Arabidopsis thaliana: one gene and its partners. The protein of the gene in region 2 interacts with the protein of the main gene of each other region in a pairwise test. Each region holds a gene or a part of one and is shown on either strand. Other genes may lie near its edges.

Evidence for each region.
Region 1: the proteins of NAI1 (region 2) and TRB3 interact in a two-hybrid assay, tested with the Arabidopsis thaliana proteins (one large-scale study listed by BioGRID).
Region 3: the proteins of NAI1 (region 2) and NAC041 interact in a two-hybrid assay, tested with the Arabidopsis thaliana proteins (one large-scale study listed by BioGRID).
Region 4: the proteins of NAI1 (region 2) and DRIP2 interact in a two-hybrid assay, tested with the Arabidopsis thaliana proteins (one large-scale study listed by BioGRID).

What each region holds. Positions count from the first base shown.
Region 1 is NC_003074.8:18,486,017-18,493,196, reverse strand, and holds TRB3 (telomere repeat binding factor 3), read right to left. Parts: upstream 4,205-7,180; 5' UTR 4,021-4,204; exon of another isoform or gene 3,835-4,020; 5' UTR 3,747-3,834; coding exon 3,597-3,746; intron 3,520-3,596; coding exon 3,305-3,519; intron 3,201-3,304; coding exon 3,116-3,200; intron 3,004-3,115; coding exon 2,920-3,003; intron 2,820-2,919; coding exon 2,466-2,819; 3' UTR 2,201-2,465; downstream 1-2,200. Other genes in the region: ARLA1C (ADP-ribosylation factor-like A1C), read left to right, coding at 1-86, 163-324, 406-523; ARLA1B (ADP-ribosylation factor-like A1B), read left to right, coding at 1,032-1,127, 1,217-1,249, 1,353-1,474, 1,560-1,721, 1,819-1,936; WIH3 (cysteine-rich TM module stress tolerance protein), read right to left, coding at 5,232-5,277, 5,452-5,731, 5,810-5,858; AT3G49840 (transmembrane protein (DUF2215)), read right to left, coding at 6,510-6,748, 6,863-7,043, 7,139-7,180.
Region 2 is NC_003071.7:9,681,593-9,688,544, reverse strand, and holds NAI1 (basic helix-loop-helix (bHLH) DNA-binding superfamily protein), read right to left. Parts: upstream 3,984-6,952; 5' UTR 3,688-3,983; coding exon 3,208-3,687; intron 2,821-3,207; coding exon 2,407-2,820; intron 2,293-2,406; coding exon 2,224-2,292; 3' UTR 1,932-2,223; downstream 1-1,931. UniProt on the Arabidopsis thaliana protein: Transcription activator that regulates the expression of at least NAI2, PYK10 and PBP1. Required for and mediates the formation of endoplasmic reticulum bodies (ER bodies).
Region 3 is NC_003071.7:14,177,154-14,183,810, reverse strand, and holds NAC041 (NAC domain containing protein 41), read right to left. Parts: upstream 2,834-6,657; 5' UTR 2,537-2,833; coding exon 2,353-2,536; exon of another isoform or gene 2,289-2,352; coding exon of another isoform or gene 2,276-2,288; coding exon 2,022-2,275; intron 1,933-2,021; coding exon 1,564-1,932; 3' UTR 1,372-1,563; downstream 1-1,371. Other genes in the region: AT2G33490 (hydroxyproline-rich glycoprotein family protein), read right to left, coding at 149-259; GLTP1 (glycolipid transfer protein 1), read left to right, coding at 5,861-5,978, 6,188-6,243, 6,493-6,623. UniProt on the Arabidopsis thaliana protein: Transcription activator of the mannan synthase CSLA9. Recognizes and binds to DNA-specific sequence of CSLA9 promoter.
Region 4 is NC_003071.7:13,022,641-13,032,561, forward strand, and holds DRIP2 (DREB2A-interacting protein 2), read left to right. Parts: upstream 1-3,270; 5' UTR 3,271-3,803; coding exon 3,804-3,921; intron 3,922-5,340; coding exon 5,341-5,440; intron 5,441-5,864; coding exon 5,865-6,192; intron 6,193-6,337; coding exon 6,338-6,750; intron 6,751-6,855; coding exon 6,856-6,906; coding exon of another isoform or gene 6,907-6,910; exon of another isoform or gene 6,911-7,198; coding exon 7,199-7,271; intron 7,272-7,543; coding exon 7,544-7,723; 3' UTR 7,724-8,021; downstream 8,022-9,921. Other genes in the region: LGT5 (los glycosyltransferase 5), read right to left, coding at 1-75, 302-369, 454-601, 678-722, 885-919, 1,155-1,266. UniProt on the Arabidopsis thaliana protein: E3 ubiquitin-protein ligase that acts as a negative regulator of the response to water stress. Mediates ubiquitination and subsequent proteasomal degradation of the drought-induced transcriptional activator DREB2A. Functionally redundant with DRIP1.

The DNA of each region.
Region 1 (7,180 bases), on a different chromosome or scaffold from region 2:
GTTACAATCAAACTATGGGATCTTGGTGGTCAACCAAGATTCCGCAGCATGTGGGAACGTTACTGTCGCGCTGTTTCTGCCATTGTGTAAGGATCTTCGACTCGAGTTTCTCTTCACTCTGTATCTCCCACAATTTTGGTCTCATGTTGATTCCATTTCCAGGTATGTAGTTGATGCTGCAGATCCTGACAACCTAAGTGTGTCGAAAAGTGAACTCCATGATTTGTTGAGCAAGACTTCGCTTAATGGTATCCCTCTTCTCGTTCTTGGGAACAAGATTGACAAACCTGGAGCTCTGTCCAAAGAAGCCTTAACAGACGAAATGTATAGCTCTTTATCTTCATCTAAACCATCCAGTAAAGGCACAACTTTAGGTCGATCTGATTATGTTTGTTATCGTTGCAGGGGACTTACATCACTTACAGATAGAGAAGTCTGCTGTTTCATGATATCATGCAAGAACTCTACCAACATTGATCAAGTCATTGATTGGCTCGTAAAGCATTCAAAGTCGAAGAACTAATCTTCACCAAGAACATATATTCTCTCTTCTTGATTCTTCTTAGTCTTCCTGTATTGTCTAGTTGATGATGATGGTGACAATTTTTCGTGTGAAACAAGAGTGTCTTTATTTTTCGCCTTCCGTCTCTCCTTCTTCTGCTGGTCTGGTCTTGTTTGGTCCTCCAGTCTTGTCTTTGTATATTAGATGTGGATTGTTTTTCTATTCCCAAGGCTTTGCAATTTTTGAAACACAAAAACATAAGTGTCCCAAAAAAAATTTTACTTCTGAAAATCAACGGCGTTCTGTAGGAAGAGAAATAAACTCTTAACTCTGGTTATTGTATATCTGAAATAGAAACTAGATATCGAACAAATATAAAGTAGCTAACAAAAATAAAGTAGCTACTTGCCTCAACTATCTAAATATAAAATTATAGATTCGCTGTAAAAAGACAATAACTTAGTGCTCTCTCTTCTTCTCTTAGTTGACATTTTGAGGAGGACCTATTCATTTGTTTGTTTCGATCAATATGACTTTGCAGCCTAATCTTCAAGCAAAAGAAATGGAGCTTTCTTTGGTAGGACTTCAAAATTCAGGAAAGACATCACTTGTTAATGTTGTTGCAGTAAGTATACTATGCTTCCATTTTGATAATCTCTTTAACACTTATATGATGGTGGTTGGGGATATAATGATGTCTTTTTACTTGTTTAGACTGGTGAATACAGTGAAGACATGATTCCTACGGTAATTGTTACACTGCATCTTTGATCAAATACGGTTTTCGATCCAAAACCTGTTTTTTTTTTTTGGAACAACATGAAGAGATTCGTCTTTGTGGGTTTATCAGGTCGGGTTTAACATGAGGAAAGTGACAAAAGAAAATGTTGCAATCAGACTATGGGATCTTGGTGGTCAACCAAGATTCCGCTGCATGTGGGAACGTTACTGTCGCGCTGTTTCTATGATTGTGTAAGGATCTTAGAGGCAGGTTTCTCTGTTATCTTTATTGCTTGGCTTATTCACAACTTGGTTTCATGTTGATTCCAATTTCTAGGTACGTAGTTGATGCTGCAGATACTGAAAACTTGAGTGTCTCGAGAAGTGAACTCCATGATTTGTTGAGCAATGCTTCGCTTATTGGTATTCCTCTTTTGGTTCTTGGGAACAAGATTGACATACATGGAGCTCTTTCCAAAGAAGCCTTGACAGAAGAAATGTATAGCTCTTTATTCATCTGAACACTCCAAAAACAGCACTAAAGGCATCTCATTTAGCTCGATCTGATTATGCTTCTTGCCTTGTTTTTGTTGCAGGGGGCTTAGTTCGGTTACAAGTAGAGAAGTCTGCTGTCTCATGATATCCTGCAAGAACCCTACCACCATTGATCAGCTCACTGATTGGCTTGTAAATCACTCAAAATCAAAGAACTAAACTTCAACAAGAACATCATATGTTCTCTCTTCTTGATCTTCTTACTCGTCCTCTGTTGTCTGGTTAATGATGATGATGAGTCTTGAACTAATTTCGCGTGAAACAAGAGTTTGTCTTTATTTGTCTTCTGTCTCACCTGCTGGTCTGGTCTGGTCTAGTTTGCTCAAGAGGTTGTTTTCTATTCTTAAGGCTTTGCAACAAAAACATAAGTGTCTCAATTTTTCAACTTCTAAAAATCCAAGGAAACGGAAATAAGCTCTGTATACAAATCAAAGGCCTTATTTATATCTTTTCAAACCAGTTTCAAAATGGTTCACGAGAAACCTGTGAAGTTACTAACAAAACCAGATCAACAGAAGCAAGAGAAGGAACAGGTTTTACATAATCATCTGAGTTAGAAGACACTGTTACTGACTAAAAACACTGCGGCGATTGTAAAATGTTGATTTCGATGCAAGATCGAAACTTGACATAACATGAAGAATTGAAGATATATCAACCGATACAACATCAATGATTTTCTTAATTCTTACCGAGTTTGGCTATGCATTCTATACTTCACAGCTTTCATCGCCGCTTTTGCAAAAATATGGGCAGCTTCAGCTTCGGCTTCTGCTTTATCTGCCTCTCTTGCTGCTTCTTCAGCTTCTGCCATTGCAAATTCTGCTTCTGCCACAGCTCTTGCAGCTGCTGCAGCAGCTTCTTTTTCTGTCATACCCATTATCATAACTTCTCCACCTACTTGGGATTTAGTAAGATTTTTGACGCCATTCTCCTCCGGTTTCGGAGTGTTTTCCTTGTTTCCTTCCAACAAGAGTTGAGGAGACCTTTGTCCTTCTCCTTCAGCCATATAATTCTGAGAAATCCTGTATTTGTGCTTTTTCTGAAAGGTGAGAACAAACGCAAGAAAACCATTGTTAAGTCAGTGCTAAATTTGTGACATTTGCAAGAGGAAATTTCGATCAAAGTATCTCTCTTTATACCTTAACTAATGTTCCAACATTTGTCAAATACTTCAGCCTTGAAGTCACAAGCCGTTTCATATCCGGTTGCATCTTGAAATTCTCCTGAAAATTTACAGCAACACTAAGACCTTGATGATTGTATATAGATGCAGTAAGCAATGCTTAACTATTTACAGACACAACGAATAAACACAGAAGGAAAACTTCATTGTACCTCTATATACATCAAGATCGACTTTCCGTCAGGACCAAATGGTCTCTTCAAGCTGGTAATAGCCTCCAATATAATCTTATCCACACTACAACAAACACATTAAAACAAGCCTATTATATTCCTCACTATTCCCATATTCCACATTCACAGCATCAAGAATTCATACAAATACAAGAAGAGAGACCAAACCTTGTAGAAGGTCTTGGAGGTTCACAAGAACCTGCAGGAGGAGATGGTGCATCAATCTGTTGTCCTCCTACATCACCATTAGCTAAAGACACAATGGTAATAGCTGTAGCGTTATCGTCTTGCCTACTACCCGACAAAGGAGTTCTTTTAAGAGCAAGCTTAGCCTTCTTCCTAGATCCCCATAAAGCTGTTACACTTATATTTCTCCATTTGTCCTGTAGACAACAACAATAGTATAAGTTTCGAACTTTTCTATAATCTCTCTTCACTTTAAAGTTGTTGATGTTTTTACCTTGAGATCCACATTAGAACGAGACTTCAGAATTGTGCTATACACAGGATCTGAGAGAATGGTACGCCATTTTCCAGTTCCATGTTTAAGTACTCCAGCTTTAAGAGCTGTTTCTTCTTCTGGTGTCCACTTCAGCTTTGGAGCTCCCATTCACACAATTTTATCACAAAATTCAAAAATTCTATAGAAACACACACACACACACAACAAACACTTCTAATGTCTCGACTTCAATTCTCTGTGAACAGATGAAAACATCACAAAGATCAATACTTTATAATGAAATCCCCAAGTTTTTCAATTGCATTAGTAATTCAATAGAAACGCCAGAGATTACGAAGACACGCACGAGAAAAAGATTAAAGCTTTCGATCAGGGAAATGGGGAAATTAACAAGGAGAAGAAGAGGAAGAAGAAGACATGCCTGAGAAAGCTGAAGGGAATGAGAGAGGAAGCTATGGAGAGTGTCATGGATCAAAGTTTGAAATCTAAAAATTGTGGCATGAGACAGAGGAAGAGAAGACACAAAAATTTGACCTTTAATCTTTCGATTCACCTACGCATGTTGGAGGATGAAGTATGTATCGATTTTGAGGTGCTTTACTGGGAGCCCTTTATTATCTTCATTTTTACAAATTCGTCTTAAACTTTATAATTGCAAAAATACACCCATTTGATCTATTAGGGATTAATTTATGAAATTAAATTAACAATGCGAGTAAAAGCAAAGTAGAAATTAGAGTAAACAAGAGATTCAAGAAAAATGATTTTTGAGAGTAAACTTGACAATTACAAGAGATTTTTTAGTAATATAATAAATTTAGGGTTTTCGAAAATAGAATTACGGATTTTTTGTTTGGTCATCGAGCTTCTTATTTTTCGGATGGGAATATGTCTAATATTCTTTACCGTATTATTTCTTAAGATTTGAGTGAATCTTTCCTTATCTTCATGGAGGTCGATGCCGAGCTCATCGACTTTTAGTTCTTGGACTGATTTCACAATTCAGTCATATCATTTTGGTGTATTTTTGGTTTGAACCGAGTTAATCGGTGGATACTAAACCACTCTCTTACATTAAATATAAGAAGTGAAGACTCAAGATTATATACGATTTAGTAGTATTTTTATAAAAATTTGTACATTGAATAGTTGATCAACCGAGGAATGGTGGATGTGACATATATGTTTGAGACGGAAAATGGAAATATATCGGACCGTAAGTATAAATTTATATAAGTTTGATGGTAATGCTAAGTTTTGATCACGTTGATACAGTCACTTCTTCTTACATTTTTGATGAGAAAGAGAACAAAATTGGGTTGCTTTCTTTTTTTGTGTTCCTCTAGTTGGAAAGAATGAATGGCTTTTATACAAAAGATAAAACACACATATACAAAAGATGGGTAACATACCCTGAATCAATCAATAGTCATGAAAGTAAACAAGACCTCAAGTCAAATTCGGATTCATTCATAAAATTAAAGAAAATTAAAGAAACAAACCCAAAACGTGGACACACATAACCAGAAGAAGAGATCTAAAATGTATATCAAACACGTCTTTTTAACATGTTTGACAAAATTGAATAGCATCCTCAAGACGGTCAACGGCAAATATCAGCTCATCTTCCGATCAAAAGCAAGCTTCCAAGAGAACGCAACAGCAGAGCATAGCCAAACTGTAATACAAAACAAATACACATTTTATAAGTACCAAACATATAGACTTTGAATATCCATATTACTCCATACCAAAATTTATGAATAATGAACCAAAAAAAGGTATATCATCAGCTTCAAGTATTCAAAACTATATGTTAATATAAAAAGAGAGAGATAATTGGTCAACGCACCATCCTTCCATGAAGCCTCCTGAATCCTTCTTATCTTTCTTATTTTTCGGTGGAGCCTGACCATAATGCGGTGGTGGAGGACCTTGATAAGGATATTGTGGTGGATGACCTTGAGGATATTGCGGTGGAGGATAGCCTTGTGCTGGATATCCTTGACCGTATCCTTGCTGCGGTGGAGGATAACCTGCTGGAGGATATCCCGCTTGAGGATATTGTGGTGGAGGATAACCTGCTGGTGGAGGATACCCTGCTGGTGGATATCCTTCCTTAGGAGGATACCCTGACAAAACAACAACATCGAAACTTAAGAAACAAGAAACAAAAATACCCTAAAAACTTGGAAAAAATTGGGAATTACCTTGAGGAGGAGGAGCACTAACGGGATGTTGTGGGTCTTGATAAGACATCTTCTTCTTCTTCTCTGTTATGCTCTTATCTGAGGGTTTATTTCTTTCTTTATAACGAACTCTTTGCTTCTTTTTCTTCGCTGTGAATGGAATAATAATAGGGTTAGTGACAATGATGATGGATAATAAAGGAGGTTTAGGAGACAAGAGACATGTTCTCTCCAAGGACTACTCTTAGATTTTAATGATTTTTAAATATAACTAAGAAAACTTACATGTGATATAGATGACCAACTCATATTTGTGGAACTGGAATCATTCAAATTAAATTGCTATTGAAATTTCAGCCGTTAAATAACAAAAAGATGACTTTATTTATTTCCTCCTTTATTATACCAACTATCATCGTCCATTCAAATAAAATACACTATAGTATTGAGTTTCACATCATTGATGACTACACACATGGAAACGTATGATCTTATTGGTCAATATCAATTTATGTCAAAGGTTACATTTTGTTGATTTAGAAGTTAATCTCTCAACTTTTTCGCCTTGCTCATTAGTTCTTTTCCAGAAGACTATATATAAGCAAGGCTTGTTGCTTTGTTCACAAGCAACCTACTACACTCTCCGACTGGTTCAGAAGTTCCCCTAGCTGCTTGCTTTTCAGAACCAGAGGAACCTTCTTCTGCGCTTAACAGTATCACCCTATTTACTTGACGATTCCTTTATCGGATTTACAGTGATTCTTTTAGCATTTTTCACCGCCCATTCGCCAAAACCAGGTGAAGAAACCAATTCCTTCAATGCATTTTCCGTGCTCTCTTTAGTGAATTTTTGCAACTCTTCCTTCGTTAGCTTCCTTCTCCCTTCTGGTGTTTTGTGGAATGAAGAAGGAAAGATATCTGACTCAGATAATGGTACTGTCCTCAACTTCTTGTTGGAACCTGCAAAAACCATTTACAGAAGAAAAACCGGTTCTTCAAGAACAACATTACGAGATAAAGGGACTAGTATAAAGAAATCAGACCACTAGAGACACAAAGAGAAAAAATCAAAACCTCTAGGAAGAGGAGAAGCAAACGAGGTAGCATGGATCAAGCCGGGGCTACAACTCTCAGTTTCATCATCTTGCTCATATATTCTTTGAGCTAACAGCTTTCTGCTAATACTCTTTAGAATCAATGAGATGAGAATTCCAGTTATCAACGCTCCTCCAGCAAGTAATGGATCTAAAGAGCTCTGTTAATTAACACAAGATCAAGACTTCAATCACCAAAAGGTTTGGTTATAATCAAAGATGAATCAGAAGCAAAAGCAGAGAAAAAACGAAGTACCTGAAGGATCAGAGCCACAGCAAAAGCTCGGATGGACCAAGA
Region 2 (6,952 bases):
CATCACTTTGTCTAAATTCATTAGCCTTTGTGTTAATATTGAGTAGTGGACTGAAATTGCTTTTATGATTTATGCTTCCATGTTTTTTCTTTTTACCATGGGACCACTTGTATATATTATAATTGAAAGATTAGAATCTAAATCATTATTATTATTATGGATTATTACATTCTAGCAAGGAAAAAAAGAAACCTAAATGTAACATCCCTAATTTTAGAAATATGGTTGTACATAAAGAAAGATTAAAAGAATTATTTTATTTATCAATGTTACTAAACTACACTTAATTATTTTTGGGGTTAAACATCGTGTTAAAACTCTATAATTAAACGTATTTGAGCTGGAGCACTTTTAGAATGAGTGACTTGCTTAGAAGTAATTTCTGATACATATTTAGACAATAAACAACTTTTTAAAATTGTTATCAGACGATGTTGAAGTCTACGAACTGAGAAATAGTATAGAAGACCACATACGGTGATGGTCGGAGCGTTACACTCAATTTGTTTCCTGTCAACATTTCTCAGTATATTTCTAGAAGAATCCCCGATGGAAGTAAGATCACTACAATTTTGTTGATTAAAAATTAACGATTTCCCCACCCATTATTTTTTCTTTAAATGACATTTATTGTTAGTCAACTTATGTCTTAAATATTTTTCCTATCACTGTCTAATGGGGGAATTTTAATTTTTAGCCCACTCGCAAGACACAATAAATTGTTTCAAAATTTATAACTACAACTAGTGCCTCCTCTAACCACTGTTTTTAAAGGGGTCGCTATTGTATTTTAATATTTTTATAGCAAAAAGACAAACTATTCTACAAGTATTAACTTTTCTATATGTCTATTTCTTAGTGGGGTCACAATTGTGTCTATTTTGTATACAAAATAGATACCATTTGTAGGTCTTATAAAAAAATTTGTTTAGTGAAAGAAAATTTGGTTTAAATATTTGAAAATACTAGACATATATTTCTTAAAGTATTAAATCTATTTTAAAATAATCTTGTTTATCATTTTCTTTTAACAGCTCATTCGTTGATTAATTAAGCACTGTTTACAATGTGAAAAGGTATATAAAATTTAAAAATAAAAAATAAATTTCAATTAATAAAATTTATCAATACTAAAGATTGATATAGAAGATAAGTATAAAATAAAATAATAAGATTAAAATTAATGTGTGATTAATGTTGAAAATAAGCAATGATTCAATTTTTCATTGTAAAAAGAAATGGAGGATTGTATTAAGAATATTCTCTCAAAAAATGTAAATTGTCATGTTTTCGAAATAGATTGTGTAGAATTACTTTCTCTATATTGCAATCTCATCAGAAATGTCCCGCTTTTTCAAAATCCTAGATGAGTTTGGTTCGCTCCAAGTTAAGTTTTTTTTTCTCGTTTTCTAATATTCCTCGCTCTTGTAATTTTCAAATTGATTATTTAGCTAAGACTTCTAAATCTTTAAGTTCTGATAATTCTTATGTAAACTCTTCTCTTTTTGATTGGGCTACCAATCAAAAAATGAATCTCTAATCAATGTGTAGTTGAAAAAAAAGTGGAAGATTTAGGACGAAAATATTGTTAAGTAATACTTACATAACCTTTAAAAACAAGGCATTTGGTCGACCAATCAAAATGGGAATGGGAGAAAATCATATCTCACAATTTATAATATAAATCTTGAACACTGAGATCAATAAGCAAATTTGTAACTATAGTAACCATTTTTATTTCAAAATACAAGTAAATAAAAATTTATAAGAGCCCATAGAGGTCAACTGAACTCAAAACTTTTATAAGAACACAAAAAGAATTTCTAATGAAATTTGTTTATAGCAGCATGAAGTCCCAATATAGTTAGCATAGATTTCTCGTTCTCAGTTAAAGATTTACAGATTAAGTATAATCAAAAAGTAATTAACATGAAGCCAATAAAATTAATGAACACTTAGGTACTTCATTATTGAACCAACCCAATGATATTGGGGAAAAATATATATCAAAGTATCAAAACCAATGATACAGCCATAATTAGGTACACACACCAATCCAGCTTTTGCACTCAACAAACGACAAAATCCCATATTTCGTGCATATATCTGGTTTTATTATCCAACTACTCATTATTCAACTAAACCGAGTGATCTGGTCAAAATTGGAGACCAAATCTAACACGTTTAACCACTGCGAAATTCACATAAACGTTTTTTAAAATATTATTCAGCTAACGCAACTCTTATGTTCTTCACCACTTCTTCAACTGGTCGAGAAAATTTGTTGTCCATCTGCAAATTAGATTTAAAAATCACATTAATACATAAAAATCAACAGTAAATGATAATATATAAAAAAAGATAGAATATGATAAATAAAAAAATATTAGAAGATTGATAACATACCTTAGTGAGAATGGTTATAACGAGAGTTGAATTTCCAAATGGTAAAGTGAAGCTATTGACTACTTCAAGACGAAACTTCTCCAAGGAACTTAAGATCTTAATCATACACCCTTTGTTCTTCTCACAATGGACTCTAATCAACAAATCTCTGTCTGAAACTCGGGCTTCGATCATAGGCATTGTTTGTTTGAAGATCGAAACTTCGTCCGAAGAAGAAGACAGAGGAGACGCAGCAGAGCAAGTAGAAGAATAAGATGAAGAATCATCATCTAAATACACTTGAGATCTCTTCACCAATATAATTGATTGATCCATTTTCTTGGTCACCACTCGCTCCTCCTCCAGCTTCTTTACCCGCTCTTGAAGTTGTTTCAAATGTTTGATGGCATCTTCAAGAACTGTTGCCTTGTCCGTCTACACACACACACACAAAAAAAAAAAAAACATTTAGTACAATATTTACTAGAGAACATTGTGTCACCATCCGGATTTTATGAGTAGTGGCATCCACATACAAACAAATTACAAGCCTATCATATTAAACACGATTTTTACGAGAAAAAAAACGTTTAAGAAAAAAAACAGATTTTCATTTTCAAAATGTAAATAAGAACAAGATTTTCTTATGTTTGTTGAGGTTGGAGTTTACATTTACATTTAAAGAAAAATGAGTTTCTTTTTCCGAATATATATTTACGGTTCTGGTGGGTTATTTATAAAAGAATATACTATATAATAAATATTAAACCAAACACAAATAGTTAAAGTACAATCAGAAAGAGATGGTTTATAGATGTTGACCTTTTTGAGGCCAGGAAGAAGAGCAGAGAGAGCAATCAAACGCTCGTTGAGCTTTTGTCGACGTTTTCGTTCAGCCAAAACATGTTCTTTCAATAGATGTGGTTCTCTTCTTCCTCCATTGTTAACACAATCTTTTCTTTTCGACCCCACTTTCTGATCCATGCTTACTTGGTTGGAGAAGTTCAAAGATGTCTCGACCGGGTTGGTTTTCGTGTCTGGAGACCCAAATGAGATCACTTGTGACGTGCGAGAACCAGAAGAAGAAGAAGACGACGGAGAAGAAGATGTTGAATTCATGTTGTTGTTGGTTTTCATTTGCTTCGTTGGTCTTTCTGCTAGCAACTCAAACCCGGTTCCAGATCCAGACTCGGAACCGGGGTTGGTGTTAGTTTCCCCGCATATCGGGAAATCGGATTCCCAGTCATCGATCAGATACTCGTCAGTGTCGATCATCAAATCCATAAAGCTTGAATCATCCATTACAAGAACTCTTTTTCTCTTTTGACAAGAGAGTAAAAAAAAGTTAATGTTGAAAGAATAAAACTAAACAAGAAGCTAAAGGAAAGAAAACTTTAGGAGTATATAAGGAGATATATTTTAAATTTTCCTTTGTTCTGGAGTATGTATGATTTTGTTTTGTTATGTGAATGTGGTCGAGTGAACTCTTTATAGTGGATCTATATGATTTTGTTTTTTATAATCATTATTTTGCAGTATACAATTAATATCTGCATGGAAAAAGAGCATATGGTTTATAATTGTTATATGAATTTGGCTGACGAATCGCATATCCGTTTACCCGATCCGGTAGGTTTAGCAATAATAAATTTTAGTAAATTAAAGGTCCTGAAAATAATTAAATGTGGGAATTGTTTTGGTTGAAATTGGTATTAATAGGTGGGGATTTGAGTAGCCACCGATGCGATGAGATCTGGCATTGGAAAACTAACAAGACTTTAATTAAAGATCAAAATCATGTGATTCGTACCATAAATGTATCCATCTTGATAGAAATATAGATTTGTGAGTCTATGACTTTAGGTAAGAAAAAAAAAAACCACAGCCCATCACGTGGACGAATTAGATTAAATGTAGATAAAGCATATGACATATGGATAAACTGGAAGAAAACAATGATAAATATTGTAAGTTTTTTTATTAGACAAAATTGTGATAGTTTGTGCAGTATTTAAATAGACCACGAAGAAAATTGTCAAAATCGATCGTTAGGAGCATAAAAAGTTATTTTCGAAGATCTTTCGATGCTCAAAATTAGAAAAAAAAAAAAAAATGCAGATGCAAAAGAGGATATGTAAATGCTCTGTTAGTTTAAGTGTTTTGGGTATTTGCATAGTATATTTCAGAAAATTGAGGTTTTAAGTAGTCTTGAAGATATCATATTATGGGTCTAAAGTTCATATATCATTTTATGATTAGCTCGTACTTGATAGTTGATAGCTAATATTTACCCCTAATGATATAAGTAAGTTATCATGTTCACTATTTTAAACACTGATGATGCTTGTTCAAAAAATAAAACAAAACCACTGATCGTGCCAACACATCAAATGATCAACATATAAAGATTTGAACTCAACTCCCCACGTGTTATTGCAAGTAACTTGGTCCCACTACAGATCCGAATTTGCTTATCAATGTCCAAAATCATTAGTTTTATTATAAGAAAACTCCAATAAAATCCAATCCTTCGTGACGTAGAATAGATTTTACGCTTATCATATAGATGATAATTGGATATTTATATTCTAAAGCCAGTAGAGGTTGAAAAATACTATGTTTATATAACTCCTACTTGTTTATGCAATAATACGAGGCTCCCGTTGAATCTGTCTGGACAAATTAAAAAATAATAATTAACTGTGATTAAATAAATGGTGAAATATTTAAGTTATAATTGAGTCAAATTTATAATTGAGATTGTGAATAAATTATAACTTAATTATAAATTAGTTACTTATGAAATTAAGATTAGTTCTATACACAATCTTAATTTCCGTGCTTCTTTGTGAATCGAAGATCTATAATTGAGTTTGTGTATAGAATTACTAATTAAGTTATTAATACAGCAGCGCAGATTCATGATTGTTCCAAAAAACTTTAGCAAAATCAATATTTTTCCAAAAAACACTTTTAAGAATTATTTTTTACTAATTAATTTAAAAATTCAACCATGATATAAAAGATTCCAGAATACAAATAGTCAACTATATTTCACATTGCATAGGAATTTGTAAAATATCCTATATGCTTAACTGGTTATGAGACGGATTGCGGTTAGTAAGAATAACACAAACACTAAAAATGATTTTTAGGGGTTTAAAATTTAAAATTTTGGGTTTGAATTTAGTATTTTGGGATTAGGGTTTAATTTTAAAGGTTATTTTTCAGGATTTAGGATTTAATTCTGAAAATTTTATATTTAGTTTTAGTTTTGTGGTATTTAGGAAAAAATCTTTTAGTAGTATTTTTGAAAAAAATAATCAAAAATACTAAATGGTATTTTCCGAACAAAATCATTTTAGTGGTCTTTTTTAGAATTGCCTTTTAATCTATGTTTTCCACGTCCTCATAACCTACCAATCAAAGCCATAATATTATATCGAAGAAGTTTTTCTACGTAAAGTGAGTTTACAATATAGATTTTGCTGTTAATTTCCTTTTTTTTTAATAATTAAAATACAATAAATACCATAATAATCACTCTTTGTGAAGTTGTCTCTGGAACCATTTTCCTATCCTCGTGAATCATGTGTGATTAATTGTTTTGCCTCATTATTGCATTAATATTATTATTAATAGTATTTTTTAGGTCAATGCATTCTTATTATAATATACCGATTGTTCTTATATATAGCAAAGAGATCAAAACTAATTCTAGGACCTGGGATCGATTAACCCAATAATAAATATTTTTTATAGCGACAACATATGTGATATAGTGGTTTGTTTAAATATCATCCATGTGTCATGCCATTCGTAATTAAATTTACAATATGCATTGCCAAAAAACAAAACAAAAAACACATTTGTTGTGAATGTAATCATTTTCCATACAACTTACATCCATATATGAAGGGATAATAATTGTTTTGATAATTTTGGTTACGGGCTCAATGAAGTCTTGATGTCTTTTTTTCTGTTTTTTTTTTCTTTTTGTCTTGATGTCTTTATTCACATCATTAATTGGTGAATTGAAAAAAATGTGGTTCAGTGTACCTCAAGCATACAATGTTACTATACATAACAAATATTTATCACCAACAGTGTTTATGTGGATAATAAATAATTTTTTCCCATATTGCAATGCTTTTTTTTTTTTTGTGTAAGCACCATATTGCAATGCATATTAAGATGAACAGAGAGAGTATTAGTTATACGTCTTGATTAATTATAATTCAAAAAAGAAATAACAATTTGAGATCTGTACGAATATACAAACAGGCAAACACCAGATTAATTAGTAGTACTCGTACATGTCATTACTTTACTCTTTATCTGAATTATTTAATACAAATAATTTAAATGGTTCGTGAATAATATATAACAAAATTGAGTAAAAATGATTTCATGATATATCCACCTTTAAGATGCTATTCTTTCTGGAAAAGATTGAGATCCATTTTATTAAAGCCTTTATAGTTTATATCAGTTAATGATCTCCACCCTCCATGTTACTCCTTACAAATTTTATTTATTGTTATTGTCTACATATTAATTGCGGAGA
Region 3 (6,657 bases), 4.5 Mb from region 2:
GTTTCCTAAATCATTGTCACTAAACTTAAATTGGAAACTAATTCCACCTAGAGCGACGATATGATTGAGAATCGCCTCATCATCAAACAGCTAACAACGAAAAAACGAAAACAGTCCAAATTCGAATTGGTGAGATAGAGATTGGTACCTGAGAAGCTTGGGCAAGCTCATCTTTCTGAACCAGAGCTCGAAGATCTCTCCGGTCTTTAGATTCATGCTTGTGAAGCACACCTCGTAACCGTCGGAGAGAGGTTTTCATTGCCGGAAACGCTATTTCTCCGGCGAATCAAGGAAAATCGAAAAACGACGACAAAGAATGGGCAAGTAGGTAGATGATCGATTCGTCTCCTTTCTCCAACTACGCCATTTTCAACAACGTATGAAAAAAACCCTAATAATAATGCCAGGAAAAAATCAAAACCAGAGGAAAAAAGAACAGAGAGAAATTTAGAAAAATAAAAAAGCGATTGTTTTAGAGGAAAAGTTAAGGCTTTGATCCTTGACTTCGTCGTCTCTTTGATTCTCTTTCGTCCTTTTTATCAATTTTCTTTTTGGGATCATATTATTCTCGCTTATAATTACGTCAGCAAGTGCAATTAATGATGGCAGCAAATGGTTTAGGCTTTTGAATATTACAATAATTACTCCATTTACATTAGAGTTTTATCAAACCGATTCATTCTTAATCAATCTGAAAATCAAACTATAAAAGTAAGTTTCAATCAAACCGAAAAAAAAATAAAAAAAATTTGAAGATCAAAGATATGTTTAACTAAAACCAAAATCATACTAAATTGTCTATGTTATATTAATATTCCTTTATTTGATTTTTTGGAATTTTAAATGAGATGATGTTTTCGACTTCCATTGCAAAATTATCTAGTTTATTATTGATTTTGGGTGATTTATATTTGATAAATTATTTTATATTGGTTGAATCGGATATAGATAGATAATCAATGATGTTTTAGTTAAAAATAAACAAAAATTAATTGATTTGTTAATTTGTGCCAAAACTAAAATATTAATTTACCTTTAAACCAATTTATTCTAACCTTTTACTAATTTATTTCAACCAGACATGAGAGTTTTCTTATCAATGTTGTGATCTTTTACAGTATGGGTAAAAAAGTGTTGTCCAAAAACTTAGAAACAACCCAACAATTGAAAGAAATAATCATTATGCATTTTCTATTTTTAACATATAATGCTTTTTCAGATATCAAAATAAATGAATTTGTGTTGTTTGGGTATATGATTTTTTCTATAAAAAAATGTTCCACATTTTTTTTTTGTAAGAGTGATCTTTAATGTAGTGTTAGTCTCTGATTTGATTGCTTGAATTGTTAGCTAGATGGTTGGTCCTTGTTGTTAATTGACACTCATTAACAAATTAGATATTTGATCAACCAGTTTTCAATATTTGATACAATTAGATAAGCTATAAAATATGGCTATTAATTACCAAAACCAAGAAAGACTCCTGGATTGCATAATTAACTTTGGAAACAATCATAATCTAATTTATTAAAGTTAATAGAAGTTGTTCCCAAGTTTGTTAATCTATAGAAACAAACAAAACTTATTTTCCCGATAACTGATTTCTTGACGATTATCATTAGAAGATGTGTGAGTTAAAGCACTTGAGCAAACAGACGACGAAGAAGTCGAAGAAGAGCAACAACAACAAGTAGCAGGAGTCAAATTCAAATCACAGCATCTTCTTCTCCTTCTCTTTTTCTTCGTGTCTTTTCTCATAAAGTCATAAAATATGGGACAAGTACTCTTCTTGTTCTCCTCCTCACGTTCTCTCTCTGTCTCTGTCTCTTTCTCATTCTCCACCTCTTCTTTCTCATCTTCTTTCCTCTTACTATTACTATTGCTTCTCTTCTTCAAGAACACTCTACACAAAACCCAATTCATGTTCTGTCCCTTTTAAAAACACATTAAAATACACTTTTTAGCCAAGTTTTTATCCAACTGATTGATGAATCTAATTTATTTGAATTTGATTCTCTTACATATAATGAATCTTGTTGTGAATCAACAAGACGATATTCATGAAGAACCCAGTTAGTTCTTGTTCCGTTTGGTGGTTTACCTTTGTAGAAAACAAGAGTTTTCTTCATCCCCACGACAAGCTTCTTCTTACCGATCTGCTTATCGAGACCAGTCGCTTTCCAATAACCCGAACCGGTAGACCGGTTCGACCGGTTTCCGTTCGGGTATTTAGCTTCCCTCGTGCTAAAAAAATACATCTCTGATTCACAATCACCTGTGATCATCATGCATATACACCATCAAATATTGAATTTGAATGAAACCCTAGAGTAGATTTTTCAATTTCTGTACCTGGTAAATCCCATGGATCGGATTTACAAACATCGGTTTCCGGTATTACAGAAGCTGGTAAGGGTAAACCGGTTACTTTTCGACGTAAATATTGAACCACTAGCTCTTCATCGGTCGGGTGAAATCGGAACCCTGGTGGTAATCTAAGTACTCCTCTGTTTTTAATAGAGCTCCTCTTCTCCATCTATCTTTTTAATGTTTGAACCGTAGAAAGAGAGACGAAAGAAGATGAGAGATTATTGAAAATGGAGAGGTAAAGTTTGGCTTATTTTATAGCAATGATAATGGGGTTGATATCGTATAATATTCGAAATACTTTTTCTTTTGAGCCATGTCGTAATGAATTGAATTTGGTAGCTTTACTATTTTAGAGTAGGGTATTGCTCTCTTTTTAATAATGTTTTTGGCACATAAAAAATTGTTTAAACTAAAACAAATACTATAACATTTTCTTTAAAGATGTGATCACCATATATATAACAAGACCTCATGAGTTTTTTTTTTTTTTTTTTTTTTGTATCAATGTTAAGTACTTATACTATTTTCACAAGTTTTTTACCGAAGTTACAGCGAAATACAAATTACATAAAAGATCAAAAACTAAGTAAAACAACAAAACTACATCACAACACAAACACCAGGGAGTACAAGCAAAAACTCAACGAGTAGAGTCTCCGGAAAAAAACATTACTGATTCTGAACCGCTCGGACATCTTGTCCTGAGCTATCTTGTCCTGAGACACTAATGTTTGCTAACCAACGACTTCCACCCTTGAATCACATAGTGTGAGGTAAACAAATTAGAGATCATGTTCATTCATTATGCATCAACAATTAACACACCTCATAACACATAGATAACACGACTAATATATTAGTAATTTTTAGTATTAACGATCGTTAACAATATTATTAGAAGATTAAGTTAGTTTGTAGTTATGGCATATGTCGTATATGTGCTACGACCAATCGTAGACAAAGATGCGTATGCAACTGGATTTCGATTATTCAATTAAAAGAGATGTGATTTCATGGGGTCCATGAAAGTGACAAATGCCCTGCAGATTCCTCTACTCCATCGCATGGTCCAATCATCTTTTCCTAATCCAGATAATAAATTACATAACCCTGTTATTTGGTAAACACTTTTAGCGTATATGTTTATATTTTTTTCTTTCTTCTTTTTGTCAACCATTATAAGTATGGGTTTCTAAACCAACACGTTATTGAATCTATATAGTCTTACGTAAAACGAAAGAAAAGAAATTCCAAAACGGTTGGCTTCCTACAACAATTTATTTATAGGAGATGAAATTGAATTGACGTGCTTTCATCAAGTCTTTCCATTTCTGTTCTACGACTTGCTAATATACCTAGCTACATGGCATTTTAATTGTGTTATAGTTTTTATATTTGATTGGTGAATGAATCTATAAAAAGAAAAGCTCATGTTATACTCGCAAAACGTCTTTTAAGAGATGTGATTAATTCAGGAGCTCAAACAAGTTGCCAGGTATTTTTTTTGATAAAGGGTATAACAAATTGTCAAGTTGCAATAACTTAAGAGAGCAAAAGTGGTAATGTTGTAGAAGAACTTAACAAGCTAAACAAGTAAAAGATGCAATTAGGTAAATGCGTAAATCGCAAGGAGAATGGAGAAGTCAAGAGGGCATTTAGTTGCTTCTAAAGCGACTTTCAATTGCTTTGTCCCACTATAGATCTCCTCCACATTAACTTCATTTGTCTCACACACTTTTCCGTACACACCTCCTAATCTCACAAAAGACTAAATTGCCTCTAATACAATTCAAAGACCACGAATGAGAAAATCACATACTAAGTGGTACAAAAGAAGCGTGATTAGTGCGGAACATAAAGAATTACTCGTACGAATGACGACTATAACAAAACAGCAGCGGATATAGAAACTAAGTTTTGTTGTGTTCAAACATAATTTATTTATCAACAAGTGAATACTATATAATTTAACATACGGTTAATGTAGTTGAATCGTATCGTACATTAGTGTACAACTTTTATGTAGAATACCAAATACAATGGGTTAGTTTGGCATTAAAGGTAGGGCCCAAAGGAGGGACAATGGGAGACTTCAACAAATGCCGGTTGCGTGAGGAGAAGGTAAAGGTCATGTCTCTTGTCCAAATAATACAATGTGGATTTGTCGTCAACGAAATCCATATCGACTTTTTTTTTTTTTTTTTTTCTCTTCCATATGTTCTTGTTGTATGTCTCAACATAATATTATTTTTAGTTGCGGTCAATAATTGGGTTGTAGAGAAAGTTACGAAAAATGAAAATTACATGTCAAGAAATGATACTTTACTTGCTCATACTTGTTACTCACTCGGCTTGTTAAGCTTTATTGTGATAGTCAATTACTCGTTTATATTTCTACTAATCCAGGATATTTCTACTAATCCAGGTTATTACAATTTCACAAAATATTATCAAAGTGAACTATCATTTTATTTGAGTTACGGTCTTAATTAGATGAAAACAAACCAACCCCTAGAATCTATGGATAATGAACTAACATGCTAAAGTTTTGACCAAGCGATTGGAAAATCAACAAACGAAATGGAAACTATTATGTGGCAATACTCGAGTACTATAGACCCAACTGACCCGACATAATCTCTTCACTTTTTATTTTGTTATCTAAAAAAATTCGGTATAAAGCCTTGTTTGGTTTCAAATTTTATCCACTTGAGAATCTCATATATCAAGATGAAACACCTACAACAACAAATGTAACTTCATATGTCAGGACCGGTCCGCAGGACAAGCATGTAATAAAACTGTGTGTTTTCTACATTTTCTATGAAATGGGTGTAATTGAAAGATACTAAATGTTAGGGCTTTTCAGAAACTTCCGTTACGTTTTAGGCGTTTAACACAATTATTATTTTCTAAAACGAGAGCCGTTTAAAGAGAAAGAGAAATTTCTAACTCCAGAGAGCGAAGAACACAATCCCAGAGTAGCAGAATCTGATCCATCCCACCTTTTTCAATTCTCAGGCAAAGGTACGATCTTTCTCCTTCCCCGTTAGAGATCAGCCTTAGATTCGTCATTCTCGTCCATTGAATCAATAGATCTCGAATAATTGTCTTGTTTTATTGTTTCTTCTCACGCTGTTTTGATGCTCTTGCTTGATTGGTGGATCCAATTGAAATTAGATCTCTGTATCGATTCGGTTGATGCCATTTTTATGATTCTTGTTCTGGATTTCCACTGTAATGGAGCTGATTTAAATAGTTCTATATCTGCATGTGTAGAGAGATTGTTGGCTGTTTCAATTTTCCTTATGGAGCTGACTCATTTTTACAAAGTGACTTTCATGTTTGATTCAATTCATTACCTTTTTGCTTGAGTTAATGTGTTTCTCAGTGTTGTTCATGTTGTTTCTCAGTTTTGGGTTTGTTTAATGTTGATTATCTTCATTCTTCAGTGTTTGATCTCATATTCAGATAAGTCAAACTTGAAAAAATGGAAGGGACTGTGTTCACGCCTTGTTTGGAAGGAATGAAGCATGTCAAATCTGATCAAGGCGAGATGCTTACTAAGCCATTTTTAGAGCTTTGCAAGACCATCTTGCCTGTTATAGGTAATAAAGGGAGAAGCTTTTTCTAATTGTTTCTTTGTCTGTCTTAATACTTTTAATGAGGTTATTGACATTTGTTATTGTGATTGTTCCTTGTTCTTCAAAACTTCGAAGTTCACGTATAGCTTGTGATTGTTCATTTTTCCTATGTAACACAAATGTTGTGTTTCCTACATGATGACTTCATTTTTCTGTGGTTATCTATTTTCCAGATAAATTTGGAGCTGCTATGACTCTCGTGAAATCTGACATTGGTGGCAACATAACGGTAAAAAATGCATTGTCTGCCCCTTTGATAATCGAATAGCACAAATCTATTTTACATTCACAGTACAAACTACTGACAAAAATGCATTGTCTGCCCCTTTTCTCGCTCTTCTTAGATTGTAATGTGTACCTCTGATGGCGGAGAATAGGCTAGTGAAAATGTCCTGTAGACTGTAGTAGTGATATGACCTCTCTGTATTGGATTATTGTCTTCTTACAATATAACTTTATTGGTCCGTCTCTTGTGTAGAGGTTGGAGAAGAACTACTTATCTGATCCCGACAAGTTCAAGTACTTGTACACCTTTGTTCAAGTCGAAATTGAGTCTAAGATAGCAAAAGGATCGTCTAGCTGTACAAACGGTCTTCTCTGGTTAACCAGGTAAACGATGACAACATGTCAACAATACACACCT
Region 4 (9,921 bases), 3.3 Mb from region 2:
CTTTTCACTCTTACTTGAAGGGGGTCGGAATTCCGTTTTATGATTAAGTTGAATATCTCTTGCTGAAATTTTCACCTGAGACAGGAAATGGAACATACATTACAAAATTAAAGCATATGCTATGACTATCTGGATGCAAATTCTAAATTCGATTTTCTATTAACAAGTGTTAGCAAATCCCATTGAAGAAAGTGTCCTGTGATTTGACAAAAAGATACTAGAATTCTCATAGTCAATTGCTTCTAACTAATCCATAATCAAGTTCCTTTTATCTTCAAATCAACTGGATTAAACTACGTACCTCCGCATTCGAGCTTACTGTGGTTTTCTGTGAAACTGCTTGTTCCTCCTTTGGTTTGTGATTATTTCCTGAAATACATGGTATCTAAAGATAAGAAAGCTTCCCCGATAATGACAACAAAACAAAATAACACAAGATCCGAAATATATTACCCTTATCAACTTCTGAGAGAAAGTTTTTTTGGTCTCCCTCATTAGACTGCACAGTATCATTACTTTTATCAGAGGAATTTGACAAAACCACAGAATTAAAATCTCGATCCTGCAGAATACGTTTAGGCTCCTTCAAGCCTTCTTCGTCCTGAATTACAAAGCAACCACACTTCAACAAAATGAATGCTTAAACAAAGTTTATGGAATGCTTAAACGAACAGAACCTGTTCAATAGCAGTAAGTCTAAGTTCATCCTCGGTCTTATCTGTCTGCAGAATAAAAGTAGCAGCATCTCAGTTGTGCATTCTCGAGAAAATGAATAGGATAATACGCAACGCTACGATATAGAATCATTGCACAATCAAACAGCAATACTGAAGAGTTCCTGGTGAGGATTAGAACAGAAGGATCTAAGCTCAGGATATACGTACAATGTCGGATAATTCTTCAATGAATTCTCCTCTATCTGCCAGAAAACAATCAATAGACAAAATCAAAACAGCTTTCAGAAGCGTAATCCAAAAGCTGAGACTAAATCAAACAAAGGTAAATCCAGTAACGAATTCCAGAAATCTAATCAACGCAATCTGCAATCAAGTAACAACTCTTCACTATACTATCGCCATATCCATCAATCTAACATCCCTGAGACCAAAATTAGAAAGCGAATTGAAGAAACCGCAGAAGTAGAAGAAGCTCACCGACGGAAGTGATGCTCTTGAGCCGATTCGAAACGAAAACAATCGGAGCTAAAACAGATAACAATAGCAGCGAGAGGATCAGAATCCTCTGCCAACGACGAACTTGATTCATCAATGTGCGTAACTTCTCAGAGAACGCTTCATATATTTTATCTCCGTTGCGCTTTAATCGTTCTCCACGAAGAAGAAGAAGCACATTCCCAGAGGGAAGAACACAGATCTCGGAGATTCTCTGCTTCTTCAACAAGCAATTGAAGAAAACGATGAGCAGATTAGGGTTTTCAGATTCTTCTGCAATAGGATTCGATAAATGCGAGAGTCTGTTTCTACGATTTCATATCTGGAGATTCAGAGCTTCCTCGTGCATGTTTAGAGACTTCTGCTCTTTTATTTTTTTTCGCTTAACTCAGATTTTTTAATATTTATAAATCAATGTATTTATTTGATTTTTATACGGAGAGGATTAATGTTGAGATACAGATATAGTGCGGCGCGGTGTACATGTGCTAGCAAAATTACTAGTTTACTAAGATTTGACTTCTTTTGATTGGCTTAGTGGAAATTCTCCCAAGCCACCATAGATGTTTTGACACGTTGATAGAATGTACTGTCAATGATTTTCAAGAGTGGGAAATTCACAGCTTTGTACTTTGGAGTTTGGAGGAACAACTGGAATGTTTGAGGTCGAATTTGGGAATTGAAATTTTTAACCCCTGGATGAGTTTATATTTGATTGATCTCTCTATTATGGGGTGTTGAATGTTATTTACAAAAAAAAAATAGTCATTGTTTTATGGACGAATAAATTATCTACTTGTCGTTTTTTTACCGAATAACGCATAAATTAGATTCAATACGGATAATTCCTAAAATAAAATAAAAACGGTTAGTTCTTCTAACATACGTTACTATAACAAACGTACTTGACGAGTTGGCATAAAAATGTATTTCTACTGTTTTAAAAGTAACGTACGATTCGTCTTGCATACTGTGACGAAATATGTAAATTCTTTTGTCGCTTAGTGATGATGTGAATTATTTTGATTCATAAAGTAGAAACTCGATACATACCTATTAACTAAACATGTATTATGTTGTGATTCATTTTTGCCTAACAAATAAAATTTATTAGCAAGAACCATTAAAATTTCATACTAATTTTGGATACTAAAATGTTAGATTGATATATAAGAAAAGTATATACTCAAAAAGATTTAACAATTTACCAATATTTAGTATTGGAATCAGTGTAGTGTTTGTTAGTACATGCTTTTCTACATTTAGAAACAGTTAAATTATAATTGCAAAAGGAAGCAATATTGAGGTATTAATAAGGTTTTACACTTTTACTTCAGCTAGCTTTGAATTTTAGAAGTTTTATGGACTATTAAATTATCTACTTGTCGATCTTTCATAAAAACTGTTGGCTCTTGCGAGAGATATGTGACCTTCCAATTGATCGCGAAGTGATAAGATGTATTCGATTTTTTCAGCTTATGCCATTTTTACAACTTTTCGGAAAAATGTTTCAAAATATCCATTATGAATTTGACATCCAAGTTATAAATTAGATAAAATTTACTTGAGATAACATATGGACATATAGATTTTACTTATTTATTAGAGTTCATTAACGAAAAATTATTGAGTTAAATATAGACATCTTTAAACTCGTTAATTTTAAAAAGAAATAATAAACAATATATATATATATATAAATATTTTATTTTCAAATTTTATTTATTTAAAGGGTTTTAATTTTTATTAACAGTTATAATATTTATGATTGTTTCCGGTTACTTTGATGCTATTTTCTCGTAATTCCCTTTTGTACATATATATTTAGAACCAAAAATTCAATCATTGAGAAGCATACTCTCTGTCAAGTGTAATTGATTCCTCCTCTTCATTTTTTAATTCTTCATTTCTTAAGTTTTATTAATTAATTGACTCACCTCTTCATCTTGTTTATTTCCAAGTAATTTTCCTAATGATGTCAATAAACAAAAATAAAAAGATTAAAATCACGCAATATCAGTAAAAAAGGAGAGAGGGTTAAATCGGTGGTGGACTTTGCAGCCCTAAACCATTGTTTCGCCTCGGAAAAGCCCATTTACACAATTGGGAAATAAATAAAAACAGAGTAAAGAAAGGAACGTCTTTTACTCTTTACGGTATCGCTCGCTTCTCTTCTTTCTCCTCAACACGAAGACCCCTCTTGCCTCTTTATTAGAGAGACCCCTTCCTTCTTCTTCTTCACCTTCACCTTCTTCCTCGATTCAGATCGTCTCCTCCTCTGTTTTATACTCACCCTATTCCTTCGAATCTCTCTCCATTTTTATCCCCAGATTCTCCCTTCTTCAACCTCGTCGACTCTTCTTCATCACTCTATTTCTTCCGATTGAGACTTCTTTCACTCTGATTTTCTTCGACCCTTTACGGATATATTCGGTCTTGAGTCTCCATCGGATTTGGATTTGAATGTAGGTATCTCGCACGAGAGTTGTTGTTTAACGTAAATCTGGGTTCTTTTTTTTGGTGGGTCGTTGTTTTTCTTCTACATGCAGTTTTGGGGATAGTACGTGCGATTCATCGATCAATCCTCGTTTAGATAGACATCAAGGATTTAAAGGAGTCGTTAAGAGAGCAATGGAAGGAGACATGGTGGCTAAAGTGAAGAGAGAAACGGTGGTGGCATGCATGACTTGTCCTCTCTGTGACAAACTCCTCCGTGACGCCACTACCATTTCAGAGTGTCTTCACACGTGTTAGTTCCTCTTTCCCCTTCTCGATTTACGTTTCGATTCGATTTTACCCGGTTTCTAATTTTCGCAATTTCTCGTCTTTATCGTCTTCTTTGATTGGTTCTCTGTTGTGTTTTTTTTTTCTTCCTCTTGCTGATTTGGATTGAATATCTGCATGATTCTTGTTGTTAGTCTCGTATGCCACTTATGATCTCCTCTATGTCTCAGTCGATTTGATGAAACTCGAGTCAATGAATAGTTTTGTTTGGTTTTCTCAACTAAAGTAATAGTTGTTGTTGAGCAGAATTTGTAATCTTTGTTTACATTTAGACTGCAAGAATCCTCCTTTATTCGTCTCTTTAGGTAAAATTTGTGAGTGTCTTCTTCTTCGTCAAAGATGGTTTGGTCAAACTCATGACGTCCAAATTTGGTTTTGGCTAATCATGTTGTTAGTTAGATTCAGTTGCTTTGTTATATCCAACTTGTAAGTTTTGTGTTAGGAAGTTCGAGTAACAAGTGCTTTAATCTACTCTCATCGGTTTAATGTAAGTTAATATTTGGATTAAGTAGCATTTATCAGCCTCTTTCTTCTACATGATATTATACAATTAAGACAGTTTAGATCATTTTCTGTTTGGAATGGCTTAATTTATTTCTTTTAACATACAATCCAGATTAGTAGTGAGTTTTCTGCATGTTGAAGTATTTGCTGATCTCTGTAATTTATTCAAATTTAGTTTATATTCCTTTTGGAGTCTAAATCAATCTACCATTCCAAGCTTTACACAACCAATTCTTTGTTACCGTTTACGGAGAAATATACCTTGTTACTCTGTAATTATTTTACTCATTCCATCTGATTTTAAAAAGGTAAATGTTAACAGTTCGGTTCCGTTGTACAACTGACCAACTGCTTATCTCAATTTAATAAAATTTTCAGAACGCCCTGCAGAATCTCTTTTTGAGTTACTGCAGTGCCAAAATTAGGTGTTAAATGCTTCACGGTTTTGTTTCTGGGGATGAATGCAGTATCCCCATCAAATTTGTGATTCCATCTCTTTTGTTTAGGTTGGTAGCTATGGATTTTCTTGATTTTAAAACCAAACAGTATGATGCTCATTAACCACTTGTCTACAAGCTTCTGCCATGACAACTAATATAACTTGATGCAGTAGAGACCATACCAATTATCGGCCTTGCTATAATGGATTTGGTGGAAGGAGTCCGATAATCTAACTTGCATCTAATAAATTCAAACTTGGCAGCGAGCCAACTTGCATTGAACCTCAAACATTATGCTATTCATTCTTTACTTAAACTTTTGATCTGAGAAATTGTTTGTTTTTATGTAAGTTGGTCGCCTTTATTACAAAAGATTTTGTTCTTACTTGATAGTTACTATCTATTGAAATGAAACAAGTTCTTATATCACTTTTATGCAGTTTGTAGGAAATGCATTTATGAGAAAATCACAGAGGATGAGATAGAGAGCTGTCCAGTATGCGATATTGACCTCGGGGGTACCCCACTGGAGAAACTAAGGTAAGTTCTTCTTCTTCTTTATTCCTTACACAATTTTCTCCTCGGTCTTGGTTTAGCAGTGATTCCTTGTATAGACTGTTAGAAGCCTTTTGGCTCTTACTGTTGATGAAACGAAGTTTTCTTACATAATGCTGAAAAGTTGTACATGATTATGCTGAGGTGTGCCACATATGGAAGGTTCTTCCGTAATTTTTGTGGCATAGTGTGAAGTTAATCAAGAAAAGTCATTTCGATTCAGAAGCAGTTATGACCTGAATATGTTGGCTAGTTTAATACTTTCGCTGACACCAACAATTTTTTGTTAGAACCTGAAACAAATCTCTTTAGTACTACACTCTCTCTTACTAGTTGGTCACCAGTAAGAGCTTTGTTGGTGGCGAACTTATTCATTTTCTAAAGAACCACTCTTATGTATTTATTTTAGGCCTGACCACATTTTGCAAGACTTGAGAGCCAAATTATTTCCTCTAAAACGTAAAAAGGAGAGAGCGCCTGAAGTTGTGTCCTCCATCTCATTACCTGCAAAGAGGAAGGAGAGGTCTATCTCGTCTTTGGTGGTAAGCACACCCAGGGTTTCAGCACAAGCTGGTACAACAGGAAAAAGAACAAAAGCTGCTACGAGAAAAGATGTAAGAGGTAGTGGTTCATTCACTAAGAGAACAGTGAAGAAGGAAGAAGAATTTGGAGATGATCATGTAGAGAGCGCAAGCTCGCCTGAAACACTTAAAAAGTTTACTCAGAATAAAAGACAGGTAAAGAAGGTGATCATTGCAGTTCTCTCTTTACCTTTATGTTTTACTTTTTCTCTTTACCAAGTCCAAACACAACGTTATGACTGATTATGGTCTTTATATAGTTCCCCATACATTTATTTATTTATTAATTCTTTTTTTGCAGTCTTCATATGCAAATCCTAACCAGTCCCTCTCTAATCGAAGAAACAAGGATGTTGATGAACCATGGGATTCCAAATTACATCTTTGGAAACCTCTAAATTTTCTTGTGGATGTGGCAAACGGAACAAAGGACCCAAAATCTGAGCTTGGAAACGCATCCCACAATGATGTTCAGGGGAGTAAAACCAAAACAAAGGATCATAAAAGAAAGTGTAAACTCGAGGAAGAGATCAGCAATAACGGTGATCCTACAACATCAGAAACTGCTACACTTAAACGAACGCGTCGGACTCGTCGCAAAAGGTCATCTACTTTTGGTGATTCTAGAATTCCACTGTTACCAGGTGCAGCAAGCCTAAAACAGGAGAGGAGAAACGGTCATGTTTGGTTCTCACTTGTAGCGTCAAGTAATCAGTGAGATTCCTGTTCTGTATCTGAGACTCTGAGTACTTCTGATATTCAATATTTTCTGTGTCTTTTCATTTCTATCTCTTAGTGACACGGCTTTACTGGTTTCAGGGAAGGAGAAGCATCATTGCCTCAGATTCCAGCAAACTACTTGAGAATAAGGTAAGTTGTTCTTTTTGCTTTGCTCTGTTTCTTGTCACTAAGTTTTTATATGTCAACTGTGAAGTCTGTGATCAAATATTACTTATTATTGCATTGATGGCTTTGAATTCGATTTCGCAGTTGTTTTACCCGAGTTTCCATGTCATGTTTGTTTTCTGTGGTATACGTTTCTTGATAAAGCCTTCTTCTTTTTTGGCCCATCACACCTAATCCTTGACTGGGAGGTGTCTATTTTCTTGTTTGGGAGAATTATATTGTGCCAGAGTTGATCCCCTGTCTCATTATATGGTAGGGATGGAAATATTCCAGTTTCTTTTATCCAAAAGTACCTCATGAGGAAGCTTGATCTCAAGAGTGAAGATGAGGTAAGCAATCTTATCTTATGCAGTGGCTACTTTTCTGTTTTATATGAGGTATCCACTCGGTCTAATATGGAATCACATAGACCGTAGTTCTATACATTGGTTCAAGTCTTGTGCTTATCAATATGACTGTAAGGTCCCCATAAATGTTTAAACTAAAGTTAACTCTCCCTTTTATTTCCGACTTGTGTACCGGGTGATATCTTATGATCTGGGACTTTTTCGACCCACCGGTGTTGAACCTTAACTACTCTATGTTTTTTTTTTGTAAACAGGTAGAGATAACATGTATGGGAGAACCAGTGATCCCAACGTTGCAGCTTCACAGCTTAGTAGACCTATGGTTGGAAACAACTTCTAAGCATCAAAGAGTCGCTGCGTCAATAGGTTCATCTGCAAAGGAATTTGTAATGGTGCTAGTTTATTCTCGGAAGCTCCCTGAATGCAACAACTAAAGAGCTATTCATTGAATCTTTTCTAGACCGAGAAGAAAGAAAAGTGCAGGAGCAGTGGAATGTCTTGTGTAGAAAGAAACTTAGCAATTTATATTTATTTAATTGTAATCTTAAAATTTGAAACATTGGTGTGAGACAGACACTTTGTTTGTTTATCCAAGAAGATTCAAAAATGGCTTTTTAAAGGAGATTGTGTCCTTTTTGGATATTTGAATGTATGATTAGGATAATGTTGTCATTTCTATAAATATTTGTTTCCTTGTTTGGACTAAATGGAGAAGTACACGGAATCCTTGTGAATCGAATGACTTAGCCATTATTGAGAAGTCAAAAGAAAAATAACCAAAAAAAAACTTGTGAAGTGTACCTTTAATACAAGAATTAAAGAGAGATGTATAAAAGTTTTCTAACAATTTTGTTCACCAAAAAAAAAAGTTTTCTAACAATTTTTAATACAAAATGCAAAATTAAAGATGAATTTTCTTATTTCTTTTTTTAAAACATAATTTTGAAGAAATTTGGTTGTCTTTTTGCATTTGTTTCTAGATATTTCTAAACTGTTGGGAAATAAAAAAATTTGCACACAAAACATAGTTAAATTCACGTGGTATTTATAGAGATTTACTTCAACCAAATTTGGATTTTGGGTCATTGTTTTATGGACGGATAAACTATCCATTAGTCAAATTTCCACAAAAATAATATGTGAATTAGATTCGACAAGGCTAATTCCCCCACAACATACGATACTAGAACAAACGTACTTGACTACTTGACGTAACAATGTTTCTCTTACTGTCTTGAAAATAACATATAACTCGTTCATCACCAATTTTCTTGTACATGATTGATTAAGTGTGTAAGCATCTTTTTCGATTAATGATGATGATGTTAATTGGAGAAACAAATTTTTCATAAATTCCCTTATAGACAAAGTCTTATAATTTTGTTAAATTCCGCATATATTTTACCAAAACTTTGTCGAATGGAAAGACACGTCAAATGTGCTAATTAGAAACTGTTGTATTGAGATTTCAAGAGGAATCAATAATAAGGTACTACTAGGGTTTTATTTCAATTAGGTTTGAATCTTGGGTCATTGTGACGAATAAATTATCTACTTGTCGATTTTCTACAAAAAGCACACATGAATTAGATTCAACGTGGCCAATTCATCTAACATATGTTACTAAAACAAGCGCAATAGACGAGTTGGCGTAATTTTATTTTATACTATCTATAAAGTAACGTATGATTCGTCTATCACCAATTATCTTGTAAATGATGGTAAAATGTCTAAATTCGTTTGTCGCTTAATAATGATGATGATATACGTTACTTTAATTAAAAAAAGCGAATTTTCGATAGATACTCTATTAACTAAGCATGCACATATCACGTTGTGATTGATTTATGCCTAGTAAATAAAATTTATCTCCAGCAAGAATAATTGAAACTTCATAACTAATTTTGAATGCTAAAATGTTAAATTGATATATGGGAAACAAGTTATGATACTCAAGAAGTCACCAATATCTAGTATTGGAATCGCTGTGGTGTTTGTTTGTAGATATTTTTCTACATTTAGCAATGTATTACATTATGATTGCAAGAGGAAGCAATATTAAGGTATTAATAAGGTTTTTACTTTTACCGGGTTAGAATTTTGGGTTTGTTTATTGGATGAAGAAATTATCCACTTGTCGATCTTTCATAAAAAGCACACGTGAATTAGTTTCGACATAGTTATATAGTTCTCCTAATATACGTTATTTGAACAAGAATACTTGACTAGTTGATGTAACGATGTTTTCTTAACGTTTCAAAAGTAACGTACGATTCTTCCATAACCAAATGTCTTGTATATAATGGTAGAATATATATTTTGTTTTGTCGCCTAATGATTATGATGTGCGTTACTTTAATTTAGAAAGCGGACTATTTAAAAACTGCTATATTGAAACCGCAAGAGAAAGCAATAGTAAGGTATTAATATGGTTTTACTTCAGCCAGATTTAAACCACCAACAATACTTTAAACCATTGGTCGATCTTTCACCACAAAAACCACACGTGAATTAGATTCGGTGTGGCTAGTTCCCTAAACATACGTTACTAGAACAAGCGCACTTGACTAGTTGGCGTGACGATGTCTTTCTTACTAATTTAAAAGTAACGTATGATTCGTCCATTACCAAT